Linked DNA regions of Ovis aries. The protein of the gene in region 4 purifies or fractionates together with the protein of the main gene of each other region. This does not show direct contact. Links are inferred from orthologs where the notes say so. Each region holds a gene or a part of one and is shown on either strand. Other genes may lie near its edges.

Region 1 (4,807 bases), on a different chromosome or scaffold from region 4:
CAAGTCCGGCTCCTGGAGACACCAGTCAGGATCATATCTGCTCCCTCTTTCTGGCCAGGACATCGGCACGAGGCGTGATCTCTATCCGCCCGAATGCCCGGGTTTCCCATGCTTAGCAGCCTGGGGGATGGGCTTAGACCCTTCCGCCCCTGCTGGGGGTCATCATGAAGATCTGCCCCTCACACGTTCTTCAGCACCAAGTCCCGCCCCCTGATTAGCTCAAAGTCCCGCCTTCTTGTTGTCCCCCACCCCACACCCCCGCGCAGTGCTGGCCCCTCACCTGTAAGTCAGCACAAAGGTCACGGCGCTCTCACTGAAACGCACCAAGTAGCATCCCTGAGGCTTAGTCTCCAGCAGCCTCTCGGCCTCTCTGAGGATGATGGAGAAGACACAGGGGGCTGCTCAGACTTTTCCGGCCTCACCTCCTGTCTCCCTGGCTTTCATAGGGGACCCCTACGCCCAACCAAGCCTGCTTAAGTGGACAGAGAAGGGTGGAGGCGGGAGAGAGAGGATGTGGTCACCACACTCCCGCTGCAGGGACTGGGCGTTCCACTCAGGAGACCTCCTGGCCCTGCATCCTCCTCCTGGGCCCATCCTGGAAAGGCAGCCTGGAGTGGGGGGTTCAGGGGGTCAGCGCTGCGGCGGCAGCAGCAGGGATGGTATTAGATTTCTAGACTTCAGAAGTCACAAGTTGCATGGAAGAGGTAAGCACAGAGATAGACGCAGGAGAAGTGAAGCTGAGAAGTGGAGGAGAAGGGAGGAACTGCAAGGGAGGGAAGAGAGGGGAGAGGGCTGGAGAAAGCCCGGGGTAAAGATGGAGGGAGACATGGAGGGAGAGAGACGGAGGCCGAGGAGGAGAATGAGCACTAGGATCCTTAGAGACAGGAGGAAAGTGGAGGCGCGGGGTAGGGGCTCTGGGCTGGTGCCTCTTCCGTGGTCTCCCCCAGGAGAGCTGCCTTAGCAAGTTGCCTCAGAGCCTCCAGCAGTCACAGCCTGGCTTGTAGCCTCAATCTACTCCTGACTGACGGCAGGACCCAGGACTGGCCCCTGCCCTGCTCTGAGCCTGTTTCTTCCTCTGTGACTCACCTCCGGGTGATGAAACCGTGGAACCAGATGGGGGCCGCCCCGTGCTGTAGGAGCTCATGGGCCTGGGTCTTCTGGAACCAAGCCCGAGTCTCGGCCTGTAGGAACAGAGCTTCTTCCCTTTGGTCCTCCTCCTTCCCAACATCCTTTGGACTGCAGGCAGCCCCTGGGGCCTGGAGAGGTGTCTGCATAAGAGAAGAGTCAAGGAGGGGAGAGGTGGCCATGATCAGTAGCCCTTCTTCTGACTCTAAGTCAGCTGCCGCCTCCTTATCCCTACACCGACTCGCTCTTCGACTTGTGGAGAAAGCTCCCTGTCCCCTTTCCGGTTGCCTCTTTTAGGGTATCTTTTCCCAGAAAGTCCTTCCCAAAGTCTGACTTGTTTAGCTCAAGCTGTTTTTGTTTCCAGGGAATTTCCTTCCACTTCCCTCTGGGTCCTGTGAGCCTTTTTGCCAGTAGCAGTGAGCTGTTAAACTGCGCTTAAATGGGAGTGGGGCCTTCCAGATGGACAGAAAGCATTCCCTGGCCTGAGGGATGAAGGGAGCCCCAGAGGCCAGAACGAGGAAGGGCTCACCCTTCTCGTTTCCTACCGACCAGATGGGGAGGGTTTCCTACTGACCGGTTGGGTGAGGAGGACTGAGATGAGGATGGGCAAATGAAGGCCACGGGCCTAGCTGTAGCTGCCTACTCCTGGAACTTAAATCACTGTGCCCATCACTTGTGGACTCACCCTGAGCTTCCCGGGGACAGAGGAGGAGCGAGTGGGCCATTCAGCCACTGGAGGAGGTGCTCCTCCTCTCCTTGCCCTTCCTCTGGGCCCCCCGCCATGGCGGCAGCCCCTGCTCATTCCTGCTTTGGCCTCTGTCCACCTGCAAGCCCACCCCCGGGGGAGGGGGGGAGTAGAGGAGGGAGCGGCACCCCGCAGGTTTCCACTCACCACAGCCTGGCCAGCTGGGCCCCTGGGGCTGGGCCAGGCTTCCTCGGGGGCCTGGAGTCGTGGTCCCAGAAGCAAGCCGGGGCCCTGGCAGCCCCTGCGGGTCAAGTCCAGGGGCTGGAAGGTGCTGAAAGTCATGGCCGGGGCTTCTCGGCTCCCTGTTAGCACAGAGAGGTTTCTCAGTCAGGGCCTGCGTCTCTCTCTGCCGCCCACCACTCCCAGGCTCAGGCTCAGGCCCTCCACTTCCCCGCCACCCCGGCAGTCCAGGCATCGGGGACCTGAAGGACAGGCACAGTCATCACAGCAGGAGAAAGGCAGGAGGGGTGGCAGAGATTGTTTCTCAGGGAGGAGGAGTAAGGAGCCCAGGAGGCGTAGAGGGCTGAGGTGACAGAGGGGCTTGTCAGGGCAGGTGGGCCCAGGGAGGAGCGCAGGGAAGCCAGCTGGCCCAGCAGTTCCAGAATCCGGGAGTGGAGGCAGATGTCTTCCAGTGCAGGCCCCTCTTCTGGCCCAGGGTCCTCTGCCTCCCGCCCCACTTCATCCTCGTGCTTGCTCCTCTCTCCTGTCGAAGAAGCTCTTAGCAGACCCTGTCCCCTTTACCCTCAGGGCTGCGTGGACGTGGCACCCGAGGAGGAGGAGCAGGGGCTGTGGGCCTCCTGCCCGTCAGCCTTGCCAGAGTGTGGCAAGGAGTGTGGCCAGGGTGTGGCCCCTCACCCCCGAGGTGGGAGCTTAGGCCCAGAGGGGAGGAGAGCAGGGGTCGTGGGGGTCTTGAGGTTCCCTCCTACCGACATTCTCCAACTTCACACTTACCTTGGGGGCATATCTGGGCCAGAGGGAACTCCATGGGGGGCAGCCTGAGAAAGGAGCCCCTGGAGCAGGGTGTGTGTGTATGGGCTCTCAGAAGGTGTGCATACTCAGCAACTCATCTCTCCTCTCACCCCAGCCCCCTGGGGCAGGAAATGTCGCCTCACCCACAGCCCTAGCCCTCGCGGAGGCTGCGCGTCATGGAAAGCCGTAAGACAGTTGTCCCTCCCCCGGAAGCCAGGCGCTGGAGGTGGTGGTGGTGGTGTGGCGTTTGTATCACTGTGTGTCTGGGTGTGCTGCTGTCCTGTCTCCATCCCTCCTGATTCTTTCTCCACGCCCTCGCTCCAGACTGGGGCTTCCCTTCCTCACCCTCTCTCTTCTCTCTCTCTGTGTTAGCAGTGGCAGTGGGAACATCAGCTTCAGAAGACTAAGCCTTATAATGTGATGGGGCTTCCGGCTCGTCGAAGACTCATATGCAGGACTTTGCTCTTAGGACACATGAGGAGGGGAGGGGGCAGAGCTGCAATAGGAAGAATGTGGGTCAGACTTTTGCAGGACCTTCTGAGGTCTTATGAAACCTGTGAGACAAGGGGGTATGGAGGAGGAAGCCTGGCTTCATCTTCAGGCAGGTAATGGAACTGGGTTAGGACAAAACCAACCATCCTGGAGAAAGGGAGAGGGGATTTCCTTCAATTAAGCAGGTCATTATTAATAGCAAACCTATCAGCAGTTGTTATTGATGACGTCCAGGCTGATGCCTTAAATCTGCAGTGGCCTTGCCTCTCCTGCCACCCTAGAGGACCAGTCCCATTTCTGTCTTGTGATCCTCACTAATGAAGGGGAGATGGGGGAACACTATCCCCATTTTCCAGATGGGTAAACTGAAGCTCAGAGAAGTTACGTGCCCTGGCTTGGGTCTTTCAGTGTCTCCGGTGTTCATGGCAGAACTGAGACTAAAAACTAGATCTTTCTTTGACTAACTTCACTGTGATTTAGGCCAACAGTCCGTGACTACGTGCCAGGCACTGTTCTTGGTGCTGAGAGTCCAGAGAGAAAGAGGATGGGATCAAGGCTAAGGCAACAGGTTTTTTTGTTTTGTTCTGTTTTAATATTTATTTATTTGGCTGCACCAGGTCTCAGCTGTAGCATGTGGGATCGTCTACCTTTGTTGTGGCATGTGGGATCTTGAGTTGGGGCATGCAAACATTTGGTAGCGGCACGTGGGATCTAGTTCACTGACCAGGATGGAACCGGGGCCTCCTGCACTGGGAGCTTAGAGTCTCAGCCACTGGGCCACCAGGAAATTCCCTAAGGCAGCAGTTTTAAAGGAAGGGAAGAGGGATCAGGCAGCTCAGGAGGAGGCAAGGCCTTGGAGTGTGGGTGTGACTGGGCCAGCAGTGATGCTGGGGGTCTTCTTTACTTCTCAGAGGCGCTAGGGAAGTAGCTCTGCAGGCTAAATCAGGACTCCAGAGTCCTTCTCGGGTGCAAGGCAGCATGCACTCTGGCTCTGGCACCCTCCAGCTAGGTAAACCCTAGCTGGCAGCCCCTGAGCCAGCTTCCGCTCCAACCATACAGCCGCTGCTCCACCCCATTTCCTTCTTCCATGAAGTTGAACATGCTCGTCCTTCTTCTACAGATACCTTTCCCCAACTTCTTCAACCCTGCTCATCCTCCACAGCTCAGCTCAGTCCCCTCTTCTGATGTCCCGACCCTCTATACACACACACATGCACACACATGGCTAGATTAGGAGCCTCTGAGGTGGGCTCTCGTAGTGCCAACCCATACACTAAGCCACCACGATCTCCCTTAGGTACCTGTTGGCAAGTCACTTCTCTCCTCTTGACATCTTGAGATAAGATCCTCAAAATGAGCTGAAAAGAGAAACATCCGCCTGCTTGACAAGTGTTTTCATTTGAGGACTTTCTCCAGACAGGGTGCAAGATGAAACCACCCCTTAGAGTAACCCTGGGTCAGGAAGATCCTCTGGAG
Region 2 (4,316 bases), about 160 kb from region 4:
AACTTCAGAACCTTTAAGCAAGCAATGTCACTTTTGAAACTAACAGGTTTGTGTTTTTTTTTTTTTACTCAACTTCTTTTTTATTATAAAAGGTACATTTCTGTTTATATTTAAACAACAAAGAAAAAAGCATCTACACACTTAAAAAATTAATTCGATATTCCTAAATCTATTTTAACTCATTTTAAAATACTACATACAGAAGCCAGAATGCAGAGTTAAGAATGGAGTAAGGTGGGGAGAAGAAGGGGACCACGAAGAAAAACACTTAGACAATTACTTGTCTGTTGTGGGTAAAGCAACAGGAATCCTGGGAGATACAAGAAATCAGTAACAACTTTGCTCATAACTGATATTTTCCCCTCATGTTTGTTTTTAATAACGTCCATATGGGTGCTCTCTGTATGCTCCCTTCACCGGCCTAGCTGGAGGGGCCTTCAGCGACGGCCTGGTCCCATTCCAGTCATCCTGGCCTGTGGGGAAAAGCAAGAACAGTTTATAAACCATGTGCCAATGGCATTTTGGAATGGACAGGTGTAGGTCACCTGGTAAAGATCACCAAACATGTTGCTTTGCTTCCAATGCCTTGCCACCTCCTCTGTGGTTCTTACTTTCTTACTCTGCTTCGCCCTCCCTCCCAAGCAGCTCAGGCAACTTCCCAGGTATAGGGCAGTTCTGAGTGGATGGCCAGAAGCAAACAGTTCAGAAAGGACTTGCGGTGATGTCCAAGAAAGAAGCTGTCCATAGGCAACATGCATGATCTATATTCCAGCCCCCAAACCTGGATAAACCCAACACCTTGCTTCAGACAGTGAGGAAATCAATCTCACTGGGGCTGCAATGCTCTTTCCTATTTTCAAAGCCGTTCAGGAGAGAGCCTCAAGTAAGGTGACAACTTCTGGAAGTCTTTCAGATTGAAAGCAACAGAGGCAGCTCCCTTTCCATGCAACAGCAAGTCAGATTTGCCTGTGAAGAAGTATCCTCTGGCTCCCTGGGAAGAGCAAGCAAGGGTCACATTTCAAGAACCCTCCACCAGCAGAGCTGGCCCACTGCTCTGGTGGTGGGAAGTACAATCAAATGTGTCAACAGCACTCATTAGGAGAATTCATTATCTCATTTTGGTGCCAATAGTCCAGAGAAGCTAGACAACGTGACTGCTATCCTCAAATGGTTTTCCTCTGTGTCAGGGAAAAGCCTATAGCAAAAACAATCATGTACTTTTAGAGTTGATCTCTCATGAACGGGAGTTGTGTTTATAAGTTTATTCTTTCCACTCACCCCCAGACTTTACCCAGGCTTGCTATTTCTCTAGGGCTTCCCTGGTGGCTCAGAGGTTAAAGCGTCTGCCCGCAATGCGGGAGACCCGGGTTCGATCCCTGGATCGGGAAGATCCCCTGGAGAAGGAAATGGCAACCCACTCCAGTATTCTTGCCTGGAGAATCCCATGGACGGAGGAGCCTGGTAGGCTACAGTCCACGGGGTGGCAAAAAGTCAGACACGACTGAGCGACTTCACTTGACTTCACTTTGCATTCACAAACATCTGTTTCCATCATTCTAGGTCTAAAACCCCTACATGGATGTAAAGTTGCTATCTAAGCCTGTTTATACCTCTAGTACAATAGACATGTCTATCACTTTCTAAGTGACTTCTTACTGTACCAATAAGGCAGTATATTTTTCTAACTCTGTTTATAAAGGCAGAAATCAGAACAGATTAACCATGGCAGCATCATACCAGGAGCACAAGGAGCAGCCTGCCTGTTGCAATGCAGCTTTTTTTCTAGCAAAACAGAAATGTAATTTAGTCAAACACTTACAGCGGTCCCATTGTACTGCTCACCGATGATGGGAAATACCCTGGGGCAATCATACCACCCTTCTAAACAGTGGCATATGAGCAGAGCAGTGCAGTGTTACAGATGGCAACTGTCCAGGACCATTTAGCTAGAGCTGGTAAAAACTGTTCCCCTGGACAAGCAGCTGACTGGCTGCAAAATACTACGCTGAGGAGGTGAGGAGTCTACCTGTGGGAACCCTAAGAGGCTCTTTCCTCTTTTCAGTTAGGTGTAAGGGAGACTGTCAACTACTACCTTAAGTTGTCAACTGCTGAGTCCCTTGCCAAGGTCTCTGGACTTCCCACAGGTATGCTGGAAACACCTCATATTTAAAAGGCTGCTCTCTCTGCATCTACCGCCACATGGCACTCCCTCTGGGGCCAATTATCACAGGGCCGTATCTGGCTCTTGAGGATACCGCTTGAGCAATGTGTTTTCAACCAGGCCTCAGGAAAGGCAGTTTGGTCCTGCTGCCATTCCAGCATCTATAGCTCTCTTGGGATTAAGGACTAAGTTGAGATGTCTCCAAGACAGTCAGGAAGTTGAACCGTCTTGAACCGGCTCCAGTCCCCAGTTTCTAATCTAACAGGCACCCTTCTTGCCCTCAAACTGCTCTTGTCATTGGGTCTCTTTCAGCTAGCATATCCCCTACACTGAGATTCTTTACAATGAGATCCAAAATTGTTTTTAAAAATGAGGTGGGTCAGAAAAGTTGGATATGATTCCATTCTTATTATCCATCAATGTGGCCTAGGTATCTTGCAGCAAAGGCTCAGCAACATAACCCAGGTCTAGCCATCTCCCAGCCTAAAGCAGAAACAAAGTCAGTGTCAGCCAAAAAGCCTGCTGCTCCAAGCAGTCAACCTGGACCTTAGCCCTAGTTTAGGACATCTGCTTAGCCATCCAAGAGTACACCTAACTCATTTCAACAGTCTTTCTTTCTACTACACACCACACGATCTAAATAAGAGCAGGATTTCTAGTGTCACGTCTATCAACATGTTGATCTTTTTATGAGGTTTCTCCTTAGGTGTATGACTGCCTGACCCCCAATAATCCCATCACCAGCATTCTCCTGGGCACTTACTTGCACATTTTGTCCCACCACAGAAATAAAGACATACCATATGCTTCATAAGAATCTTGAACCTCCCCATGTCCATAGTCATAATATTCTGAGTCCCTGAAAGCCAAAGACAGAGTATTAGAGCTATACAGCAACCATGTTTCAGTTTTACCTTTCTCCCAAATGCTTCCATATTTTAGTCATTTTACTGAGGGTGCAAAACAAACAAAAGTTCATTCTACCCCCATCTCCAAACGTAAAATATTTCCAAAACATGTACATACTGGATACTCATTTAAAAATTATGACAACTACAGCAAAGAAAAATGAATAGCACACAATTTAAAGTGAAAAAGCTCAACCAAAAAGCTCAGTGTTAACCAGTGTACACACACACACTCACAGGGCTCACTGGAAGAGAATAAGCAAATATGAAAAGAACTGTCTTGTCCCCACTGCAGAATTATGAGAGGCCTTTCCCATCACAGTTTAGACACATATATACACATACACAAAAACGTGTTTTTTAAAAAAAGAGCAGAAAAAATCTGAGTTAAGTAATGGGAATCTAGTACCCTTTTAAACTTCTATGCAACTTTAATGTAGTTGTGACATTTTAAAATAACTAATCAAAACAATTTTAAGGCATTTTCCCTTTGTTCCCATGTAGTCACAGCTAAGGAATTTTTCATATGCTAATCCCAGATTCAGCATTATAATTTAAGATTCACAGTTTTCCAAATCTGCAGATCCAGGTGTGTGCCTTACAGATGTCACAAGCAGAGGCAACACTCTGAAAAGGTGATCCATCTGCTCCTTAGATTTGTTCTGCCTAAATCTCCCAGTTCTTCCAACTCCCTCTATATCCCAAGGACATGAAACAGCAATTCCACTGCCTGACTCACCCTTGGCTCTGGCTGTAATAGCCTTCATAGCCTTCATAACTCTGTTCTGCGTATGTATCATCATATCCCTACAAACGAAATGAAACAGAAAAAGTCAAAATCACACAAAGTAGCTAAGGCAATATGGAGGGCTTATGAATGAACAGAACATGGAATTTCCCTCTAAAGTATTAACATCTGTTGTGGAATAGTCAAGAGAGAAAGGTTTAGAAAACGATCAATCAAATTAAAAAAACCCTTTCAGCTTGGGCAGGAAATAAGGTTCAAGGTTGAACTTTATCAGCATTATCAGTAGTAGTAGGAGGAGTCCCCTTATTAAAACACTACACATCAAGGCACAGCTTATTTCCTGTTTCATCTACATATGTATATAGTAAATTATACTTAAAATGGAAAAATCTTCTCTCATAGTTTAACAATCACTGCAACAGAAGAAGGCAGATTCTAAACCTTACAGGCAGTTCCTGCCACCTACATCAAGGGCCAAGGCCCTGTCACTCAACTTCCT
Region 3 (5,005 bases), on a different chromosome or scaffold from region 4:
TCTCTATTTCCCTGATGATCAGAAGTTTGCCATTTACATCCCGCTCTTCCTGCCCATGGCTGTGCCCATCCTCTTGTCCCTGTTCAAAATCTTCCTGGAGACTCGCAAGTCCTGGAAAAAGCCTGAGAAGACAGACTGAGTGGGATGGCATCACAGTAGGAAGCCTTCCTTTCCAGCCAGGAGGGAGGTGTTAGATTGAGAGGCACATAACGGGGCCTGCCACAAATGATTTGTCTCCAGCCTGCTCTGTTGCCACTCCAGCAATCAAAGTGTAACACTCCAAGAGGGTTTGCTCTTTCCTGTCCTCCCCATTCTTGTGGCTCAGGTCCCTCCCACTCTTCATCTTCTCCCCCCACTCCAACTCCCAAACCTCAAAAGACCCAATCTGGGTCTCCTTACCTGCCTTGAACTTGAAGGTCTTTTACTGTCTCCCACTGCAGCAGGGGCAGCTTATCTTTCTGCCCTGTTCCTCACAGTCCTCTTGCACTGAGTGGGAGCATTAGGGAAAAGCCCTGGGTGGGATCTAGGGCCCTTCCCTCCTGCTTCTCTCTGATCCCTCAGAGAGAGCCCTAGCACTGCTCTTCTAGAAGGGGCCAGGCCCGTGTCATCTCTGGGGCCTTCTCCCTTCCTCCTGGGTGGCTACACTTGGTGGGTGCAGCCTGATGCTGTGTGTGGCAGAGCTTCCCTTCCTCATCCCTTTATAGAGGCAGTGTGGTACAGTGGGGAGAGTTCTGGACTTGGGATCCAACATGTCTGAATTCAACCCTTGCTTCTGCACTTAATATCAGGGGAGCTTTGAATAAGCTACTTAATCCTCTCTGAGCCTCAGTTTTTCTTTTGTTAAAATAGCACTAATGACACCTCCCTTACAGGGTGGTTGTGAGGATTAAATGTGATGAGCTTGTGAAAGTGTCTGGCATATTCTAGGCTCTCAATAAACATTGGTTGAATATGAACTGGAATGATATGAAGTGTGATCATACCTTTCATTCTTCATTCGTGTGTAAGTCATGGTTTCCTCCTGTCTGTCTTCCTCGGCTCACTGGGTCCGTTTTACTTCCACCTAGCCAGGTGCCCTTCCTACCTTTCCTGTCCTGGAGGGCCCTGTGGTGACTAGACATTGTAGGCTGTTGTCCCTCAGAATTTCCTGGGTTATCTAGCAGGGGGTCTGGGAGAGGAGTAGCAGTGTAAGCTCTCAGATACTAACTGATTCATAAATTCTAAAAAAGAATATACAGTTGGCCCTTGAACAACGTAGTGGGTGAGATGCCTACCCTCTGCGCATTCAAAACTCAGACAATAATTTATATTTGGCCTTGTTTATCTGCAGTTGCATACCCACATATTCAGCCAACCTCCCATCGTGTAGTATTGTAGTATTTTCTATTGAAAAAAAATCCAGATAGGTGGACCCACTCACTTCAAACCCATGTTGTTCAAGGGTCAACTGTGTTGAGTGCAAGCTGCAGTGGGCACTGGACTAAGTGCTGGGTATTCTAGAGAACAGAGACGAGATCTCCAGTTTCACCGAACTGGTCTTGTAGGAGGACTGGTCAGTGAGCAAATGAAACGAATTTCAGATGATGCATTAGAAAAAACAGGCTGATCAGATAGTGATGGGGTGTCTGAGAGGGCCTCTGAGCAGATGACATTTGAGCTGAGACCGGAAGAACGAGAGGAGGCCACCTCTGGGGGAAGAGCATCCCAGGCCCTGAGACGCGAACTCATGTGCGAGGGGCAGAGGGAAGGGCGGAGTGGCTGGAAGCCAGCGAATAAGAAGGGGTAGGTAGCCAGGACCCTGAAAACCCCTACCGGAAAAATGAACGACGTCCCCGGGCGGGCCCCCTCCCTGCCCCGGGTCCGTAGCCCAGGTGGGCGGGCGGTGGGCGGGGTCAGCCCCGGGCCCACCCCGGGGGCGGGGCGGTACCTGGGGCTCCGGTCCGGCCGGGGGCGGGGCTGCGGACGCTCCCCCTTCTCTCGGCTCCAGCCGGCGCAGGCAGCCGCGGCGGCAGCAGGCGAGCCGCGGCCCCGCGAGGCCATGAAGGTGAAGAAGGGCGGCGGCGGGGCCGGGACGGGAGCGGAGCACGCTCCAGGGGCCTCGGGCCCGAACGTGGAGCCCAAGCCGGAGCTGCAGGCGGAATCCGAATCCGGGTCCGAGTCGGAGCCGGAGGCAGGCCCGGGGCCCAGGCCGGGGCCGCTGCAGAGGAAGCAGCCGATCGGGCCGGAGGACGTGTTGGGGCTGCAGCGGATCACCGGCGGTGAGCACCCGCGAGGCAGCATCACCCGCGGGCGGGAGTGAGAGAGCGCGAGAGGGGGCCCTCCGGGCGCGCAGAGTCTGGGCCCCCGCCCCCTTTCCCGCCCTCCCCCGCCTCCCCTCCCCCACCCGGGTGCCCCTCTCTTGTGTCCTCTACCCTTCTGCCTCCAAGCCTGAGATCTCCATGTCCCCCCTTTCCTCGATCTCTCTCTGCGCTCGCCTTGTCCCTTTAGAGATTCGTTTCCACCCCTTTCCTTCCTTTTTGAGGAGTCCATCCCCCTTTCCCATGGTGGAGGTGGGGCAGCAGCTGCAACTGTGACCCCCTCCCCACAGAGTCTTCAGAGTTTTTTGAAGATCTTCTCTGCAATAATGAGGAGGGGGCTGAATGCAGTCAGTCCCCAGTCTCCTCCACCCTAGAGGCTACGTGTGGTATCAAAACCCTTAGGTCTCCTTCACACTGGACACCCCCAGGAAGTCTGGGGCCATCACTCTCTCCAGGAAAGGACCTGAAGAGGAAGCTTCAGTGCTTTGACTCTGGGCTTCTCAAGGAAGTGGGTTAATACCCCCTTTAGCCTGAACTAGGGCCTGTCCTCTTCTGGGAGGCCAAGCCACCACTGTGGTTGAGTTTCTGAGCTGGATTGCCAAACTGAAGTTCCAGCTTTGCCGTCCTATTGGCTGTGTGACCTTGGGCTAATAACTTCACCTCTCTGAGCATATTCGTCTGTAAAATGGGAATAATGACCCCTAACTTTAGAGAGCTGTTGTGAAAATAAATCCTGTGATTTTGCACTGTGCCTGGCAGGCCGTGCATGCTGTGTAAATAGGGCTCTTTTGTCAATACTGAGGGCCCCACAGGACTGCTCATGGCTGCTGCCTGGAGGCAGACAAATGGGCATTCAGGGCGGGGGAGGGGGTCACCGTAGGCAGGGAACAAGGGAGGGAAGTCTCATGGCAGAGGCCGCGGCTGAGCCTGAAAGAACAGAAGGCACTTGGAGAGGCAGTGGCCTTCTATCTTGGCCTCATTGGTTAGTACCCCTGCCCTGGCTCCCTCTGTGAGGGCAACTTTTGGAGTCCCCCTGTGAGGGTAGGGAGCAGTTGCTGGACTGGACCTGAGCTCTGGTGCTGCAGGAGCAGAAGAGTCCAGGGCTTCCAAACAGCTGTGGAGGGGACTGTGATGGCAGGTCTAGGCCTGTGCATCTGGGTCCCCAGGGGACCAGCATCTCCCTCCTCTCTTAGCCAGGCAGCAGTCATTCTTGGCTGGGCCCTCGGAGCACTGAACTGCCTTACCCAAGCAGGCAGTAATAGGGGGAAGGTGCCTGGACCAGTCTGATGGTGGTGCCAGTTGGGCTATAATTGGCAACAGTAGCATTTAGGATTCAGGTTAGCTCTGGGGCAGAACTTCCCTATAGGATGTCTAACTTGTCCCAGTCCTAGGTAACTTTCGAGGTGATTTTGCAGCCAGAGGGACTTCTAGCCCATATACAACTGTGTGTCTGAATTTGGAGGAAATTCATAGCCCTTAGAGATTCAGCATCTGTGGGCGATTAGAGGAAGAGTCTTCACCAGATCCCTCTTCTTTGTGGAAGCTGAGAACAGGGCTCCAGGAATCTTTCCACTGGCACCCCTGCCTGTCTCCTCTGACCCTAATCACACAGGTCTGAGTTTGTTCTTCCTGGATTACCCAGACCTGAATCCAGCTTAGGAAGCTATTTGTGGCTGAGGCGAAGGGAGCAGTTGCATTCTGAGCCCTCAGCCACTCTGCCCCTTATCGGGCCTGACCCCAAGTCCCAGGCATCATCCTTCTCCAGCTGGGGGAGGGAGTGGAGGTGGTGTCTTGAGCCATGGGCATCTTCCATTCCTCACTTCCTCTAAGGACAAAGGGATTGATAGGCTGAGTTTGCAGTAGAAGAGACAGAGGTCACACTGCCAGTTGTTCTCCAGTGAGAGGAGAGTCTCTGGAAGTTAGGGAATGGGGGAAGGAGTGGAACCCTATGGGGAGCCAGGAGCTGGGCGACTAGGGTGCTGTTCTGAGTTCTGCCTCTTCCTCTCCTCTGCCCTGCACTTTCCTCCTACGTCTTTGGATTAGTGTTTACTTTCTGTGAAAATAAGTTGTGTCCAGGGTGAGGCAGGACCTGCCTACTTCCATTCCTCCTCTCCCCACCGTGGGCTGTGATGGGCAGGCCAGGGCTCCAGCCCCACCATAAGTCCTGTGTAGTCCCTGCTGGACCCCAAGTGCCAGGTGGCCACCAGGAGGGCTTCCTGGAGGGGGCTGCCCCATGCTTGGGAAGAGAGAATGACTTTACATTCACTTCCTCTTCCTGCCCCAGAGAAATCAGTGGTGGCCTAGGGGCCTAGCGGGTGATTTCCGGGCCTCTGCAGGGAGGATGTGATGCTGTGCTGGCACCAGAGCCCCCACTGCACCTCTCTGTTTCTTCCTATTTGCTGTTGGGGCCTCCTCCCTGAGTGCTTGCAGTTGCCGCTGCAAGAGTGGTGAGGGTTGGATCAGGCCCTGCTATTTCTGAGCTTCCTCAAGCCGAGCCCACCACTGTTCGTGGTTCCTCTTCTGGGCTCAAGGATTCCCCTTACCCCAGTCACAGCCCTGCTATACCTGCCACACCCTCTTACTGGCCTTGCCTCTTCTCTCTGGGGGTAGCTCAGAGTCAAGGGTGGATGGATTACCTTTAAGGGGGGGTTCCCTCCATAGACCTCCTCTGCTAAGACCTCCTCTTGTTTGAAGATCAGTGGGGGATG
Region 4 (4,783 bases):
GCTACATTGCTTATATTTCTGTATATGTCTCCGTACTGTTTAAATTTTTTTAATATTTATTTATTTTATTTAATGGCACAGGGTCTTCGTTGCAGCATGCAGGATCTTTAGTTGTGGCATGTGGGATCTAGTTCCCTGACCAGGGATTGAACCTGGGCCCCATGCACTGGGAGCATATAGCCTTAGCCGCTGGACCACCAGGGAAGTCCCTACTGTTTAAATTTTTAGAAGCAGCCATGTGCTAATTTTATAATTGAAAAACAGAAACAACCAAGTCCCCACCAACGCAAAAACTCTGGTAAGAGACATAGTCCTTTGAGAAGAATCAACCTTACAGCTGTCCTTCCACTGCTCCCCTTGTCTCCAGAGGTTCAGGCAAGGAACTAGGGATACGAGAAAAAAGGTTCTGCAACCACCGAAGTCTGAGACATACCGGGTTAGACAAAAGCAAACAGCCGCCTTCTCTGGGGAGACTTTCAGAGTTTCCACAAGCCAACACTGATGGTAAATTTCACATGGACACTTCATAGCTGAGGCAGTGTTGATTTGGACCCAGAAGTGTTTCCTTTCGGGGCGCCTCGTGGGACTAACATTCTTTAGACCAAGTGTTGGAAATCTAGCTCAGATACCTTCCAACGAACACCCAGATGGAGGCCCCACTTGCCTCCATCCCACCCACAAACTCAGCTCCCCTCAGCATTGCTTTCACTGAATTGGGCTTGGCCTTGAAGCCATCAGTCTGTGGGTGTGTGCATGGATTTATAGGATCCCACTGTGGTGTTGGAGAAGACTCTTGAGAGTCCCTTGGACTGTAAGGAGATCCAACCAGTCCATTCTAAAGGAAATTAGTCTTGAGTGTTCATTGGAAGGACTGATGTTGAAGCTGAAACTCCAATACTTTGGCCACCTGATGCGAAGAACTGAGTCATTGGAAAAGACCCTGATGCTGGGAATGATTGAAGGTGGGAGGAGAAGGTGGTGACAGAGGATGAAATGGTTGGATGGCATCACCAGCTCAATGGACATGAGTTTGAGCAAGCTCCTGGAGTTAGTGATGGACAGGGAGGCCTGGTGTGTTGCAGTCCATGGGGTTGCTGAGTTGTATACAACTGAGTGACTGAACTGAACTGAACTGAGCTGATGTGTGATATATATGTGGTCCCTGCCTCTGCCTCTGAACATCCATGCACACCTACATTTTCCAGTGATGATATGAATGGTATTTGGGCTAGGAAGGGAAGGATCATGTGTGTGTGTGTGTGTGTGTGTGTGTGTGTGTGTGTGTGTGTGTGTGTGCGTATCTATGTGTCTGTAGGAAGGTATGTGTGGGACCCTCCTCCAAGATAGACCCTGTGGCCCAGCCTAAAATTCTCACACCCACTAGAACACACAGGAAACAAGCTCATTTGCAAAGCTACACCACAAGTGTGAAGGAATGGGCTGCCCACTGGCCTGCCAAGGTGCTGAGTAGGAGTAATTCCGGGTACGGACAGCACCCCCCAACACCCCCACCGCACACACACCCTTGGGTGCACCATTTGCAGGAGAAGTGGTTGCCTAACCTCTGTTAAGCACCTTCGGCATGCCAGTTACTACCCACAGCACATCACAGCCATTTTCTCTTTGATTTCCCACCAGCACTCTGTAAGGAGGGATTTATTATTGCCTCTTTACCAATAAAGCAACTGGAGTTTGAAGAGGTGAAGTCATTTGTTCAAGGAAATGGCAGAACCAGAATTGTGCCTGGGTCAGCCTGACTGTGAAATACATGTCCTTTGCGCTACACCAAACCCTCTGGCTCTCTTGTGTTTGGTCTTGCCCTGAGGTTTCTGCCCTCCTAGGATCCAAGGAACAACCCAGAGACAGTGACCCTAGCTGCATATCCTAGGTACTCTGCAAAATGGGCCTTTGTTCTCATAGCCGCCTGACTCTTCCAGGAAGCCTTCCGATCACCCAAGCGAGGCCTCCTCTCGACTTCTGGAGCTTCCGCTCATTCTCTTGCTCCATCACTTGGCCCTTTTTCCCTTTGAGAAGCGCCTCTGTCCCAGAGCTTTGAGGGCGAGGGACCCTGAATCATCCTTCAGCACAGGCTAGGGTGGGGGACGGCTGATGCCAGTCCAGGGTCTGGATGAGTCTAGGGAAGACCCAGCTTGTTTTCCAGACCCCACAAGAGGTTGCAGGCCTTGGAGCTGGGGATGAAAGAAAGACTGCGACATGGCTGAGACAGTGGAAACTGTTTCAAGAAAAACTCCAGTGGCGGTGGGGGAGGCAGGGGAAACCTGGAAAGTGTGGCTCAGGTAGGGATTTACCCCCATAAACTACAGGCTGAGAGCTAAAATTGAGGGGATGGACAAGGAGCTGATTCTGCCTCCCTGGGCCTCCACCTTCCTGGGGTCTGAAGCAGGAACCAGCAGGACCCACTGGCCCTAATCAGGCAGTGGCAGGGGCAGGGGTAGGGGGCAGGAAGGAGCAAAGGGAAGAGGAAAGGACATCCTGGCAGGGGCAGGCGTGGCAATTTTCCAGATGGAAATCCAGATGGTCCTTGCCCAGGGCCAACAGCACCCTTGTCCAGGATAAAAATAGCCCTTCCTCTTCCCTTCTCCCATCCTCCTCTCACCCCCCAACATCCCGGAGTCCTGTCAGATACTTCCGCCCCAGTCCTCATCCCAGATGATAAATATTCCCTTGCATGCCCATCCATTCCCAAAGGAAGACCCCCTCCTTCTCTCAAGCAGTGTGGGTCGAGGCTAAAGTCACTCCTCACGTGTCTGTCCGGATGCTCTGGGTGATTCCCCTCGCTCTCTCAAGAGAGTCTTGTCACTGGGGTCTACACCAGCAAGTGGAAGGACTCTTGGGACCCTTGACTCAAGCCTGTCTATCACCTTGCTCCAGTGGGGAATCACATCCTAGGCCATCACCTCTCCCAGGGCCATCACCCTCTCTGCCTCTGCGTTGCTGACGGACTATGGGGAGGGAGCATTTTGCCCAGTCTGGGGCTTAGGAGGCTTATCCATCATGGGATGAGGGGCTGGATGCAGGGATTTCTGAAGGCCTTTTCAGTACTTAAGAGATCCCCAAGGAAAAGGCTCCCAGTGAGGTGGGCTCTGATGGCAGGCAGTGTGGTGGAGGCACAGCTACACAGGAAAGAGGCGATCTGGCTGTTCAGCCTGCCTCCCACCTGACCTCCAGGTGTTTCTGACCCCAGCCTGATAGGCTGCGCATCCCAGGGGAGCCTGACCCTAGGCCCAGCTGCAGCCTTCTGCTCGAAGGTCCCACTCCCAGCCCTTAGGCCCCTGTTCCGGGTACTCCTTACCTGCCCAGCCCAGGAGCCCCCTGGCCCCATTCACATGGTCTTCCTGGCCCAGCCCGGCTGCCCAGACACAGCTTCGGCTCCCCTCACCGTCGTAGCCACTGGCTGTCTCCCCGCGCCCACGTCCCACCCTGACTTCCTGCCTCCTCCTGAGGGCTCCGCAGCCAACCGGGCCCCAGCAGCCCAACCGCAAGCCTCCAGCACCCCAAGCTTCCTGCTGCCATCGCCCCCTGCCTCTCAGCCCTCTAGGGTCCTTTCACCCCAGTCCAGGCCCCATTCACCCCGAAGGTGGCACCCGGAGGTAGAGGAGAATATTGGATGGAACTTCCTCCGCCCCCCCCCCCAGGGAGCACCTGGACCAGAGATTCAAGGGCCGCCTTGAAGCCCCAGTGAGCAGGAGGCAAGGAGACACCCACTCAGCTTTCAGTGAAGGGCAAGCTGCACGGCTATCAGTCTGAGAGCCAGGTGATCCTTGCACTACAGTCAGAGGGCAAAAGTAACATCCCCTCAGAGTCAGGGGGAACAACATCCCTGTAAAATCACTGGAGGGCAGATACGATGATAGATAGATACCAGGCGCACACAGCTGCTAGCCACACAATGGAACCACAGCCATGCCATCTCAGGGCATGGGGAAGAGCTTTATTATTTGCAGAGGGGAGGCTAAGACCCCTCCTACAGACAGTCTGCTGGACAACAGGCTGTTCAAGGAAGCAGACAGGACAACCCGGTGTCTTTAAGGGAGCAGCCTCTTTTGTGGGCAGAGGGCAGGACAACACCCCCTAATTATGGTTGGAGAGTAGGGCAACCCTTCTAACCCAGGTAGAGACAAGGCCACAGCCTCTGTCAGAGGCGAAGGCCTGACACCACCTCCTGCAACAGGTGGGAGACAGAACAAACACTCCTGCCCAGGCCCCCCGGTGCAGGCAACAGACTGGCAGCACTTTCTGCTACAGGCAGGAGGAAGGGACCCTGTCACAAGCACGAAGCAGGCCAACAATCTCCCTTTCCCCAGGAGCCAGGCTGAGGGTGGCGTACGTCAGAGGCTGAGGGCCAGGTCACCAGTGTTACGAGGAACTCTAGGTGGCCTCTCTCGGGCCCAAGAGCTGGGCCTTGGCCGCACCCATCGGAAGACAGAAGCCTGTTGCCACCGCCTGAGGCTGCACTGAGGTAGCAGGCTGGGGGAGGGGAAGCCCACAGAGCATTGTTGGGGTTTGTGAGGTGGAAGCCGATGCTGTATGCACCTTCAGCTGCTGCGGAGAGAAGGGGGAGACAGGAAATGGGTGGGGGGAAGAGGAAGCCTGAGTTGGAAAGTCAGACAAAGAGGGTGACACAGAAACAAAAGCTGAGAAACACGAAGTTTTTTTTGAAAAAAAAAAAAAAACTAAAAAACAGGCCTACAGAATGACACAGAGCCCCGGCTGCAGGCCCCACCCCCTTGCTATGAACCTGAGCACTTCACAGTTCATCTCT

What was found.
Region 1: the proteins of LCK (region 4) and SH2D2A purify together in Homo sapiens (co-immunoprecipitation; 3 studies listed by IntAct, with this or other methods). This does not show direct contact. The link is inferred for Ovis aries from reciprocal best matches to the Homo sapiens genes LCK and SH2D2A.
Region 2: the proteins of LCK (region 4) and KHDRBS1 purify together in Homo sapiens (affinity purification with western blotting; 5 studies listed by BioGRID and IntAct, with this or other methods). This does not show direct contact. The link is inferred for Ovis aries from reciprocal best matches to the Homo sapiens genes LCK and KHDRBS1.
Region 3: the proteins of LCK (region 4) and UNC119 purify together in Homo sapiens (affinity purification with western blotting; 3 studies listed by BioGRID and IntAct, with this or other methods). This does not show direct contact. The link is inferred for Ovis aries from reciprocal best matches to the Homo sapiens genes LCK and UNC119.

The regions. Positions count from the first base shown.
Region 1 is NC_056054.1:106,761,179-106,765,985, forward strand, and holds the start of SH2D2A (SH2 domain-containing protein 2A), read right to left. Parts: upstream 2,976-4,807; 5' UTR 2,856-2,975; coding exon 2,822-2,855; intron 2,540-2,821; exon of another isoform or gene 2,293-2,539; intron 2,173-2,292; coding exon 2,018-2,172; intron 1,269-2,017; coding exon 1,087-1,268; intron 371-1,086; coding exon 281-370; intron 13-280; coding exon 1-12. UniProt on the Homo sapiens protein: Could be a T-cell-specific adapter protein involved in the control of T-cell activation. May play a role in the CD4-p56-LCK-dependent signal transduction pathway. Could also play an important role in normal and pathological angiogenesis.
Region 2 is NC_056055.1:235,447,831-235,452,146, forward strand, and holds part of KHDRBS1 (KH domain-containing, RNA-binding, signal transduction-associated protein 1), read right to left. Parts: intron 3,877-4,316; coding exon 3,809-3,876; intron 3,021-3,808; coding exon 2,962-3,020; intron 474-2,961; coding exon 376-473; 3' UTR 281-375; exon of another isoform or gene 1-280. UniProt on the Homo sapiens protein: Recruited and tyrosine phosphorylated by several receptor systems, for example the T-cell, leptin and insulin receptors. Once phosphorylated, functions as an adapter protein in signal transduction cascades by binding to SH2 and SH3 domain-containing proteins.
Region 3 is NC_056064.1:19,957,603-19,962,607, reverse strand, and holds the start of UNC119 (protein unc-119 homolog A), read left to right. Parts: upstream 1-1,971; 5' UTR 1,972-2,038; coding exon 2,039-2,258; intron 2,259-5,005. Other genes in the region: PIGS (GPI transamidase component PIG-S), read left to right, coding at 1-139. UniProt on the Homo sapiens protein: Involved in synaptic functions in photoreceptor cells, the signal transduction in immune cells as a Src family kinase activator, endosome recycling, the uptake of bacteria and endocytosis, protein trafficking in sensory neurons and as lipid-binding chaperone with specificity for a diverse subset of myristoylated proteins.
Region 4 is NC_056055.1:235,285,431-235,290,213, forward strand, and holds the start of LCK (tyrosine-protein kinase Lck), read right to left. Parts: upstream 3,428-4,783; 5' UTR 3,314-3,427; intron 1-3,313. UniProt on the Homo sapiens protein: Non-receptor tyrosine-protein kinase that plays an essential role in the selection and maturation of developing T-cells in the thymus and in the function of mature T-cells. Plays a key role in T-cell antigen receptor (TCR)-linked signal transduction pathways.